Linked DNA regions of Macaca fascicularis. The main gene of each other region encodes a partner of the protein of the gene in region 3 in a complex. Links are inferred from orthologs where the notes say so. Each region holds a gene or a part of one and is shown on either strand. Other genes may lie near its edges.

The links. The genes of interacting proteins can lie anywhere in the genome.
Region 1: the proteins of TGFB1 (region 3) and ITGB8 are in contact, whole or in part, in a cryo-EM structure (PDB 7Y1T), measured with the Homo sapiens proteins. The link is inferred for Macaca fascicularis from reciprocal best matches to the Homo sapiens genes TGFB1 and ITGB8. Residues at the interface, in NP_000651.3 of Homo sapiens: His117, Thr241, Arg243, Arg244, Gly245, Asp246, Leu247, Thr249, Ile250, His251, Gly252, Met253; in NP_002205.1 of Homo sapiens: Ser156, Ala157, Ser158, His160, Asn161, Asp213, Tyr214, Asn215, Leu216, Gly248, Asn249, Ile250, Asp251, Thr252, Glu254, Gln286.
Region 2: the proteins of TGFB1 (region 3) and LRRC32 are in contact, whole or in part, in a cryo-EM structure (PDB 8VSC), measured with the Homo sapiens proteins. The link is inferred for Macaca fascicularis from reciprocal best matches to the Homo sapiens genes TGFB1 and LRRC32. Residues at the interface, in NP_000651.3 of Homo sapiens: Leu30, Ser31, Thr32, Cys33, Lys34, Pro325, Pro327, Tyr328, Ile329, Trp330, Ser331, Leu332, Thr334, Gln335, Tyr336, Val339, Leu342, His346, Ala353, Pro354; in NP_001122394.1 of Homo sapiens: Ser135, Tyr137, Glu158, Ser160, Thr162, Val184, Met186, Asp187, Ile188, Glu189, Asp190, Phe193, Leu202, Leu204, Arg206, Asn207, Ser208, Leu209, Thr210, Cys211, Ile212, Ser213, Asp214, Phe215, Ser216, Leu217, Leu223, Leu225, Cys227, Ser229.

What each region holds. Positions count from the first base shown.
Region 1 is NC_088377.1:109,813,040-109,816,607, forward strand, and holds part of ITGB8 (integrin beta-8), read right to left. Parts: intron 1,690-3,568; coding exon 1,284-1,689; intron 1-1,283. UniProt on the Homo sapiens protein: Integrin alpha-V:beta-8 (ITGAV:ITGB8) is a receptor for fibronectin. It recognizes the sequence R-G-D in its ligands.
Region 2 is NC_088388.1:75,536,826-75,540,393, forward strand, and holds part of LRRC32 (transforming growth factor beta activator LRRC32), read right to left. Parts: intron 881-3,568; coding exon 1-880.
Region 3 is NC_088393.1:48,471,325-48,474,892, forward strand, and holds the end of TGFB1 (transforming growth factor beta-1 proprotein), read right to left. Parts: intron 1,686-3,568; coding exon 1,532-1,685; intron 630-1,531; coding exon 471-629; 3' UTR 333-470; downstream 1-332. UniProt on the Homo sapiens protein: Transforming growth factor beta-1 proprotein: Precursor of the Latency-associated peptide (LAP) and Transforming growth factor beta-1 (TGF-beta-1) chains, which constitute the regulatory and active subunit of TGF-beta-1, respectively.

The sequences.
Region 1 (3,568 bases), on a different chromosome or scaffold from region 3:
AGCTAGTACACTAGATATTTTACTGCAGGGACTGGGACAAATACTCAAATGTATTTGAAACTCTCTTGAGAGATTGACAGTTGTGGGACGTGACTTCAGAAAATTCTTTCTCTTCACTGTAAAATAATATTTTTCCTCCCTGTAAAATATGGTAGACAACTGCTGGTTCATTCTAAAGTCATCTATAATCCATCCTACCCATGATGTCAGTTACAGTTGAATACATGTTTGTATATATATTAAAATATTCTATGTATGTTATAGAAAAAAAGACAATTTCCACTGCACATTTAGGTGATACAGGCCAAATTTTCAGCTTCGACTAGATTGCACCATTTATTTTTTATAGGTTTGTTGCATCCCATATGCTTATGATGATGTTTCCATTCATCAATAATTTAACAAATATTTATTTACTAAAATACAGATACTAAAAAGATGTTTTTCTCAACGAGTAAATTTAGCATATTGTCACAGGAAAATTATCACAGAACGCAGATGACAGGTGATTTATTTAATTCACTTAAAAATGGTATTTTGTTTTAGTTTGCAAATGTTGATTAGATTTTCTGGAATCTAACCTGTAGGTGGCAGTAAATTGAATAGCCCAAGAGTAATCTTGGTATTTTTATTTTAATTTATTTTATGTTTAAAATTTGGTCTGTGTGTGGCCTCAAGGACGAATCTTTTAGATTACTTAGTAAGGAAGTATTTTCTTGAAGAATGCTGTCCTTTGGCAGTTTCGTTGCTGGTGGTGGCCCAAAATAAACTGGAGAGGCTTAAATTCCTGCCAGCTTAGAATACCATTTATAATAATGCATTAAAGATTTTCATATGAATGAAAAATATACTCTTATACCTCACTCCCCATCATCCTGACAGAAATAAAATCCTATGTGCAAGTTGGAGGGAGTGACCATTTACCAGAATGAATCAGATCCTTCTAGAAGAATACTCTGATTCTTCTAGAAAATGTGTCAGATATCATCAGCATTTCCTTTTCTGGTATATTTCTTTCCAAGATCAAGGAAAGCATGAGCATAACAATTAATTTTAGGTTTTTATTTTGAAGCATTTCCTGTATAAAATAGGTTAAAATATAAATATCAAAATCACATACTATAAATCTGTTGCCATGCCCTAATTTCATGGACGATGAAACTTTGAATAACAAATTCAGATTCAATTTTGCTAATTTGTAAAGATGTGATTTAAAGATACTTTAACATCTATGCTGGTGTAATAGTGACAAGTAAAAGCTGCCCGTGTATATTTATACTCACCAGCACACAGATTTCCATGGTGATATGGACAAGAAAAGTCATCCTTTTCACAATATTTTCCATACACTTTTCCAAGCTTAATTTTGTGACATGAACATTTCCCACAAACACAAACTCCTCGACCACTGCAAACAGGTTGATCCTTGTGTGACTTGCAACTCTCAGAAGAAAACTGATCTTCATCAAAATGACATTTATTCTCATCACACTGGAAGCACTTGGAATCTAGAAAAGTTTCATCTACACACTTTCCTTTAGGTCCTCTGTTGTCCTCACACTGACAGCTGCAGTTTCTGTGTATATGAATTTTAGCGGTTTCATTAAAACCAATAGGTTTGATTATTGCATAGTTTTTTCCTCCTGTGACATCACATTTTTTCATTGTAACTGTTACATTGAAAAGAACCTAAATTTAGGAGGAAAAAGGAAATATATTTACATACCTTAATTATTTTTATTACTAATATTATATCTGTTAATAACTGAATTGATAAGAAACCATCTTAGAGAAATTAAAAATATTTGTAAAATAAACACATGTAATCACTTTCATATACATGCAACATCTCTTTTTAATGTCATTTATTCTCCAACTAATGAACTTGAGAGTTAAAGAATATAATGACTGCTAATCCCTATATTGCACCATTAAATAGACTTGAGTGCAAGCCTTTTTGAAGCGTCTACCCCATCACTGATGATTAATTTCTTAGCAAACATAAGAAAGAATAGACCATTTTCTAAATTCAGCCATTAAAATGTGGGGTATTGAATATTTGACACTAGAGATAGATCACATAAACCAAAGTAAAGGGCTTCTGCTCTACTGGTTTAAAACCCTGAGATGAGACCTGGCGCGGTGGCTCACACCTGTAATCCCAGCACTTTGGGAGGTCGAGGGAGTTGGATCACCCGAGGTCAGAAGTTCGAGATCGGCCTGGCCAACATGGTGAAAACCCATCTCTGCTAAAAATTCAAAAATTAGCTGAGTGTGGTGGCATGAACCTGTAGTCCTAGCTACTTGGGAGGGAGGCTGAGGCAGGAGAATCACTTGGATTGCAGTGAGCCGAGATCGCACCACTGCACTACAGCCTCAGTGACACAGCGAGACTCCGTCTCATAAATAAATAAATAAATAAAAGATTTTAAAAACCCTGAGGTAAGATGTTCAAATGAACAATTTTAATTTTGTTCCTATTTTCTAGGAGCCCAAGTAAAGTTTCAGAGTTACATTTTAGTTTATACAGGGTTTCAGTGGAGGAAAACATGTGGCTTTCTGTGATGTTACTCAAAATAAAATTGTTTAGGACTCTCATTCTCAAATCTTAAGACCTCAGCACAGGTCATCTGCTTGTCTCAGTGGAAGAAGATAGCCCAGAACTAAGGAGCTGGGCTGGCAGGAACTGGTCAAATGTTTTCTTTTTCTCTATTTCTTCTTTTTGCACAACACAATTGATTTAATATGTCTATTTATATTTATTGGCTCACCTTACCATCTTTAGGTACTTTGGTAAATAAGGTATATTTATTTCATGTTGGATTGAGATCCATTGCAATTTAAAATTAATTTGAGCTTTTTGGGTGGAATGTGTGTCAATGATACAATAATATAAAGTATCTAAATTTGGCTTATATATACATGAAACACTAGAATTTGTTCCGTAATATTAAAATCAATACAGTTGGTGTTATACTTAAAATGCTTTCGTCTTTGAGAATGCTGAGGCTTAACAGATACGTAAGTTAATGTGGCCACTGCCATCTCTAACAGTAGATCATACTCTGGGGTTTCCATAACTAAGAGGTCATATGACTATTCCTGAGAGTTAAACTATTTAAACCACTCAATTGAAAGTGAAGGAGAGATGGCATGTAAGCAAATGAAAAGAAAAAAACAGTGTAACAGGTAAGAAAAACCACTCTTCCAAAATGAGATTTTGAAGGAAATAACTATTTCTAAGACAGTAGCCGTTTTTTCATAAAGTAACTTAGTGCTATATTTGCTAGTAAAAAGTTTTCTCTGTAGTTTTAATGAAAAGCCAAAGTGTATTTTGCAAAATATGATATCTTTTGAACAAAATCCATGGAGTGATCATAGAAGAAACCACAGAATTAGAAACTGGCAATAATTAATTTAAAATATACAGCTCTAAAATTCCTAAGATAGAAAAACATATTCTAACTAAAGAGAAGACAGGATTCTCTTTTATTCATTTTTAGAATCTTCTATCACGTTCAATAACTTTTTCTTTTTTTCTATAGCATGACATTACATAATTAATCAT
Region 2 (3,568 bases), on a different chromosome or scaffold from region 3:
AATCCAGATTCAAGAGCTGGGAAAGGGGGCGGGCACTGACATTCCCATTGGGGGTTGAGAGGGGCAGGGCTGACCAGCCCTCGGAAGGCGCGTGGATGCCCTTGCTGTCCTGGGGTGGCCCTGTGGGGAGCCGGATGAGGTTGTTGGACAAGTTCAGGTAGATGAGTCTCGGGAGCGCGGCCAGGTCGGGGAAATGGAGCAGTTTGTTCTCCCGCAGGTCAAGCCAGGTGAGCTGGAACTCGGCCTGGGGCTGGGAGGCCGTCTGAAAGGCCTCAATGCTGTTGCAGCTCAGGTCCAGCACCCGCAGCTGCTGAAGGCTGAAGTCGGAGATGCAGGTGAGGGAATTCCTGGAAAGGTTGAGATGGGTCAGGTGGGGCAGGCCCTCGAAGGCGCCATCCTCGATGTCCATCAGCACGTTGCTATGCAGGTCAAGCTGCTCCAGCGCAGGCATGTCCCGGAAGGTGTGGCGGGTGAGGCGAGTCAGACTGTTCTCCGCCAGTGAGAGGGTATGCAGGCTGGGTGCCTCCCCTAGCAGCCGCTCCAGCAGGCCGCTGTACAGGCTGTTCCCAGACAGGTCCAGGGAGGTCACACGTGGCAGGGGGCCCAGACCACCGGCACTCAGCGCAGTGGCCATCGCCAGCCGGTTGTGAGCCAGGCTGAGGTGCTCCAGGTGGGTCAGGGCCTGGAAGGCTCCTGGCTGGAGGAAGTTGATCTCATTGGTGCTCAGGTCCAGGTGACGAAGTGCCGTGTAGAAGCCCAGGGGTGAGGCCAGGATACTCCGCAGCTGGTTCCCAGAGAGATCAAGGGTCTCAGTGTCCGGCGGGAGCACCAAGGGGACCTGGAGCAGGCCCAGACCCTGGCACGAGACCTTCTTGTCCACCTGGGGAGGGGCAGGGTGGGGAGACAGCTGGCATAAGTGGGCGCAGTAGGGGATAAAACCAGACACGTTTATCCAGGAACCCGGCCTGGCTGGGAACCCTTCTCCCATGGACTCCCAGAATGCTCAACTTTCCCTCACCGCAGCCTGATCACCCCATGCCGGGATGACCCATCCGGCTCCCTGCCCCATCTGCGGCACCCAGCACAGTGCTGGGCATTAAGGAAGGAACTCGATGAAGTTTCTACGGGTGGACAGATGGAGAGATGACAGACAGATAGAAGGACAAATAAACTAACAAAGAAACCCTGTACTTATTATTACCCCTCTTACAGGAAACAGCCATATATCCCACAGAGTGACCCCAAGCCAGTGAGCAGCAGGGCACAGCAGGGACCCAAGGCTCCTGGTTCTATGCAGAGAGTTAAATTTCCAGGGGCAGGATGGGAATTTCTCCACTTTGGGAGAAATGTTTCCAAAAGGGAAAACTGTAATTTGTGCTCTGTCATCAGTTTTTATCTTGGCCTCAGACCTCATTCAGGCTCTCGTGTCGTGGGCAGAACCTGGGTCCCGGGGCCTGCCTTCCTTGTGGATGCTTCCCAGGGGTGGCCTCCTCTCTGTTGCTGTTACCTGCTAGGGGGTGGCTTTCTTCCCAGGCTGGGTCAGGGGACTAGGCCCCTGGAGGTGGGAAGGGGCAGGGAAAAGATGGCCAGAGCCAAATCCACAGCCTTTGGTGACGAGACCATGTTTGTGCTGTGCGACCTCCAGGAAGTCACATAACCACTGTTTTCTTACGTCCTTCCCCAGCAGCCACTCAACATTTGACATCTTCGTTAATACTTTCAGGCCTGTGGTCCCATTGGTCTTTACCACAGCCTGTGCATCTGATACGATCACCCCATTTACAGAAATCTAGGCTCAGGGAAGGGAAGGGAGGTGCCAGGATTGCCCAGCTGGTGAGGAGCAGAGCTGGGATTTGAACCCAGGTTTTTTAACAACCAAAGGCCTCAATCTTGTTCTTCCGCAGATGTACCTTCTGGGACCAAAATTCTTTCTGTGCAAATGCAGGTCTCCCTTTTCTCTTCCAGGCCTCCAGGAACCCCAGCCTTTCCCAGAAAAGAGTCTGACTTCCACAATCACCGGGCTCAGGCTCACTGCCCCCAGCTTCTGTCTCCACTGACCCATTCTGGCCCATTCACTGCTAAATGCCTGACAACGGCTCAAAAGCTCCACTCTGACTATGAGGCAGCTTGGCTTAAACTTCTCCATGGTGAAGTCCAGGACCCTCAGCAGGGCCTTCGAGGCTGTTTGTAGCCCCTGCCAACCTGTCCCCCACCTCCCACCCCAGCCCACATGCAGTGACCACAGCTGACCACTGCCCATCATGCCCTCCCACACCCACTGCTGAGCCTCCTCCCTGAGCTGGATATGCCATCCCCAACCAGATCCACATGTGAACTCTTCATGTTGAGCTTCAGGGCCTCCTCTACCAGGGAGCCCTCCCTGACTGTGCTTCCTCTCAGAGCTTTGCCCCGCTGAATTGTGGCTGTTTGTGTGGGGACCTGCTAGACAGCGAGCTCAGAGCAAACAGGGACTGGTTTGGTGGATGTGGATGCCTTGGACCTGACTAGCAAGTCAATTTTTCCTAATGAATGAGTCCCAGGCATCATCGGTTTAGTAAAGGTCTGAGGCACTGAATCAATCACTTCTCTGGGAGGAAAGAAAATGGATGATTGATATTTTCAGAATATAGTCAAAGACGGCTAGAGCAAGAAGAGTTCAGCTCACCCACTTCCCAGATGGGGACACTGAGGCCTGAAGATGACAGTGACTTGCATGAATTCACAGTGAGCCAGTGGCTGAGCTGGTAGGGAAGGAACACAAGCTGGCGTGTTCCTCTCCTGGTCCAGCTCTGCGCTTCCTCCTGAGAGCCCCAAGGTGAGTAGGCGGAGGAAGAGACCTGCCCAGCCTCAGGCCTCTGTGTGGCTCTTCCTACTCCATGCAGCACAATGACTCCATGTAGCCTCCAAGGGAGGCAGGTTCACAGGGGCCTCAGGAGGCCCAGGGATGCCCCGGCAGTTGGGCACTTGTGAGAACCTGAAACCTGCCTGGCTGCCTTGCCCATCCTTGCCCTTCCTCCCTCACAACCTCTCTGCCTGCAGGGGCCACTAAACATAGCCTCCTCCTCACAGCCCTTACCCCCTGGGGCATTCCTTATTTAAAGCAGAAACAACGAAATGACCTGTGGTGGAGCCCCAGCTGTGTCAGGCTTCGTGCTGAGTGCAGAGGCCCCTACCCCATTAAATATTCCCAGGCATTGTTCACCCTGCTCCTATTGTACCTCTAACGAAACTGAGGCTAAGGGGAGTGGGCTGCCCAAGATCAGACAGGCAGGGGCTCAAAACTCTCATTTGCAAATTCCTTTTCCTATTGGTGCCAGCCAAGTTCTGACCACTGGGCCCTCAGCTGGTCGGCACAGCAAAGAGCATCAGGGACCCACTTACTGAGTGTTACAGTGTGGGGGGCACTCTGCGGTGCCCCACGTGTTACCCCCGGGCAAGTGGAGAGGCATACTGCCTCTGGATAGGCAAAGGCTCCCTGGGGCACTAGCCCCTGAGACTTGATCCAGGACACAAAGTTTGCCAAGCCCACAGCCCAAGCCTTCCTCTCCATTCAGGGGCCCAAGACCCC
Region 3 (3,568 bases):
GGTTCCTAGTGGGCAGGAACTCCTCCCTTAACCTCTCTGGGCTTGTTTCCTCACCTTTAGAATGGGTGTTATCAGAGTCCCTGCATCTCAGAGTGTTGCTAAGGTGACTGAATGAGTTCATTAATGTAAGGCACTTCAACAGTGTCCAAGGTGCTCAATAAATAGATCTAACTACAGTAGTGTTCTCCACTGGTTCCCTGTGCCCTGATGCTGGGCAAAGGAATAGTGCAGACAGGCAGGAGGAGGCAGAGAGGGACAGAGATGGGGTGGGAGTAGGGGAACGTCAGGGAAGGAGACCCCAGGCAGGCGCCCAATGACACAGAGATCCGCAGTCCTCTCTCCATCTTTAATGGGGCCCCAGGTGGGCTTGGGGCACGGGTGTCCTTAAATACAGCCCCCAAGGGCAAGGCAGCGGGGGCGGGGCGGGGCGGGGCCGGGCCTGCCGGGGTGGGGCGGGGCGGGACGGGGCCTCAGCTGCATTTGCAGGAGCGCACGATCATGTTGGACAGCTGCTCCACCTTGGGCTTGCGGCCCACGTAGTACACGATGGGCAGCGGCTCCAGCGCCTGCGGCACGCAGCACGGCGCCGCCGAGGCGCCCGGGTTATGCTGGTTGTACAGGGCCAGGACCTGCGGGCGGCGGGCGGGGTCAGGGCTCAGGGATAGTGGAGGGAGGAAGATGGCCCTCCACTGCCCCATCCCCCACCCCCTACCGCGCCAGCCTCTCCCCGCATCCCTGTCCCCCTCTTCCCATCTCCAATTCGGTCTCTCTTATCTTCTAACATCCTATCTTATTCTGTCTCTCCCCATCTGTCTGATTTTCTTTTTGTGTTGAGACTGGGTCTCGCTCTGCCACCCAGGCTGGAGTATAGGGGCGCGATCAAGGCTTGCTACAGCCTCAACCTCCTGAGCTTAAGTCATCCTCCCGCCTCAGCCTCCGGAGTAGCTCGAATCACAGGCAAGCGCCACCACTCCTGGCTTTTTTCTTTTCTTTTCTTTTTTTGGTAGAGATGGGATCTCACTCAGCTGCCCGGGCTATTTTCGAACTCCTGGGCCCAAGCGATCCTTCTGCTTCAGTGTCCCAGAGTGCTGGTATTACCAGCGTGAGCCGCCGTGCCCGCCTGATTTTCTTTCTCAGTCTCTACCCTTCCTCGTCGTCGCCTCTTGCCTTGTTGTATGTCTTTGTCTCTCCTTGCTCTAACTCTGTGTTTGTATCTGCCTCTCTCATTTTGTCTCTCCATTTCTCTCTGCCTTTTTCCTTCCATCTCCCTGTCTTCTCCCCTTTACCCCCACCCCTCTGTTACTTCAGTTCTGTGGGCCTTCATATCTCATCTCCCTCTGCCCCCTGCTCAGAGCCCTTCTCTAGCTTCCTGCCTCTCTCCCCATCTCTTTATCCATTCCCTTTCCCACCCCATCCCTCTTTCTCCCCATCCTGCCAACTCACCTCTCTGACTTGACTTCTCTTTCTCTCTCCTCTTCCTCTGTCCTGGCTCCCCCCAAGCGCACCTCCTAGCCCGGTGGGCCAGACGTACCTTGCTGTACTGTGTGTCCAGGCTCCAAATGTAGGGGCAGGGTCCCAGGCAGAAGTTGGCATGGTAGCCCTTGGGCTCGTGGATCCACTTCCAGCCGAGGTCCTTGCGGAAGTCAATATACAGCTGCCGCACGCAGCAGTTCTTCTCCGTGGAGCTGCAGGCAGGAGAGACGCTCAGGGGTAGGGAGGGGCTACCACCACAGGAGCGGTGCGCCCCTCCACCACAGGAGCGGTGCGCCCCTCCACCACAGGAGCGGTGCGCCCCTCCACCACAGGAGCGGTGCGCCCCTCCACCACAGGAGCGGTGCGCCCCTCCACCACAGGAGCGGTGTGCCCCTCCTCCCCAGGTGTGTGTCACCCTAAGTTGCCCCCCCAGCCCTATCTCCATCTGGGTCTCCCTTGCACCCCATGTTAATAACAACACAAATAGTCATGATAATCACTAACACAGATTAAGCACTTCCTCCAGTCAAGCACTGTGCTAAGAGCGATGTAATAATCTCATGCAATGCTTAAGACAAGCCTGTAAGAAGCCAGATGACCATCCCCCGGGGGGCTAAATAAATCATGGCATGCCCACACCCTGGAACATACAAAATAACACGGCTCCATGTAAACTGATCTGCTCTGTTTGTGCAACAAATGTTTATTGAGCTACTACTGTGTGCTGGGCTGGGATCTACTGGGGGCTGAGGACAAATGAAATAGATAGAAATAGGCTAGGCATGGTGGCTCAGGCCTTTAATCCCAGCACTTTGGGAGGATGAGGTGGGAGGATCGCTGGAGTCCAGGAGTTCGAGGTTGCAGTGAACTGGGATCACACCACTGCATGCCAGTCTGGACAACAAAGAGCAACACCCTGTCTCTAAAAAATTGTTTTTCAATTTTTTAAAAAGAGACAGAAATCTCTGCCCTCCAGGGTCATGCTATAAATTGTCATGTCACTCCTCTGCTCTGAACCTGGCTCCACCTCATGGCAAATGCCCAAGTCCTCACCGTGAGCCACAAGGTGCTAGCAAATCTGGCTGATCTCAACTCCCTCTCTCACGCCTACTCCACTCCAGCCACACTGGCATCCTGTCTGTTCCTCAGACAGTCTTATCTCAGGGCTCCTGCATCTGCTGTTCCCTCTCTATCTTGCTAGTCCCACAGATACCCACTCCAGCTTGTTCCTTCACTTCTTTTTTTTTTCTTTTTTTTTTTTTCGAGACAGAATCTCACTCTGTCTCCCAGGCTGGAGTGCAGTGGCACGATCTCGGCTCACTGCAACTCCGCCTCCCAGGTTCAAGCGATTCTCCTGCCTCAGCCTCCCGAGTAGCTGGGATTACAGGCGTGTGCCACCACACCTGGCTAATTTTTTGTGTGTTTTTAGTAGAGACAGGGTTTCACCATGTTGGCCAGGCTGGTCTCGAACTCCTGACCTCGTGATCCGCCCACCTCGGCCTCCCAAAGTGCTGGGATTACAGACCTGAGCCACCGCATCCGGCCCATTTATTCTTTTTAATTTGTTGTTCTTTTTAGAGACATGGTCTCACTATGTTGCTCAGGCTGGTGTCGAACTCGGGCTCACGCGATCTGCACGCCTTGGCCTCCCAAAGTGTTGGGATTACTGGCATGAGCCACCGCACCTGGCCCCTTCACGTCATTTAAACCTTAGCTCAAATATCCTTCACTCAAGGACCCTTAACTCCTAAAGCGGTGCCTGGAATGCAGTAGGTACTCAGTAAATATCAGTTACATGACTGAACATCACCTCCTCGGAGATACCATTCTGAGCCATCCTTTCCAAAATATCCAAGTGACTGTTAGTTCCATTTAGTGCAATATGGTATTGCAGTTATGTAAGAAAATATAAAAATGCATGCATTTGAAATGGGGCAAAATCTTAATCACCGATGACGCTGGATGAGAGTTTACAGGCGTTCATTATCTTCATTGCTTTTGTATACATTTGAAATTTTCCATAATAAAGCAATTTAAATCAGAATAGGAAAAATAATAGTTCCCAATATCTATTACTCTGTCTGCCTTCTTCTGA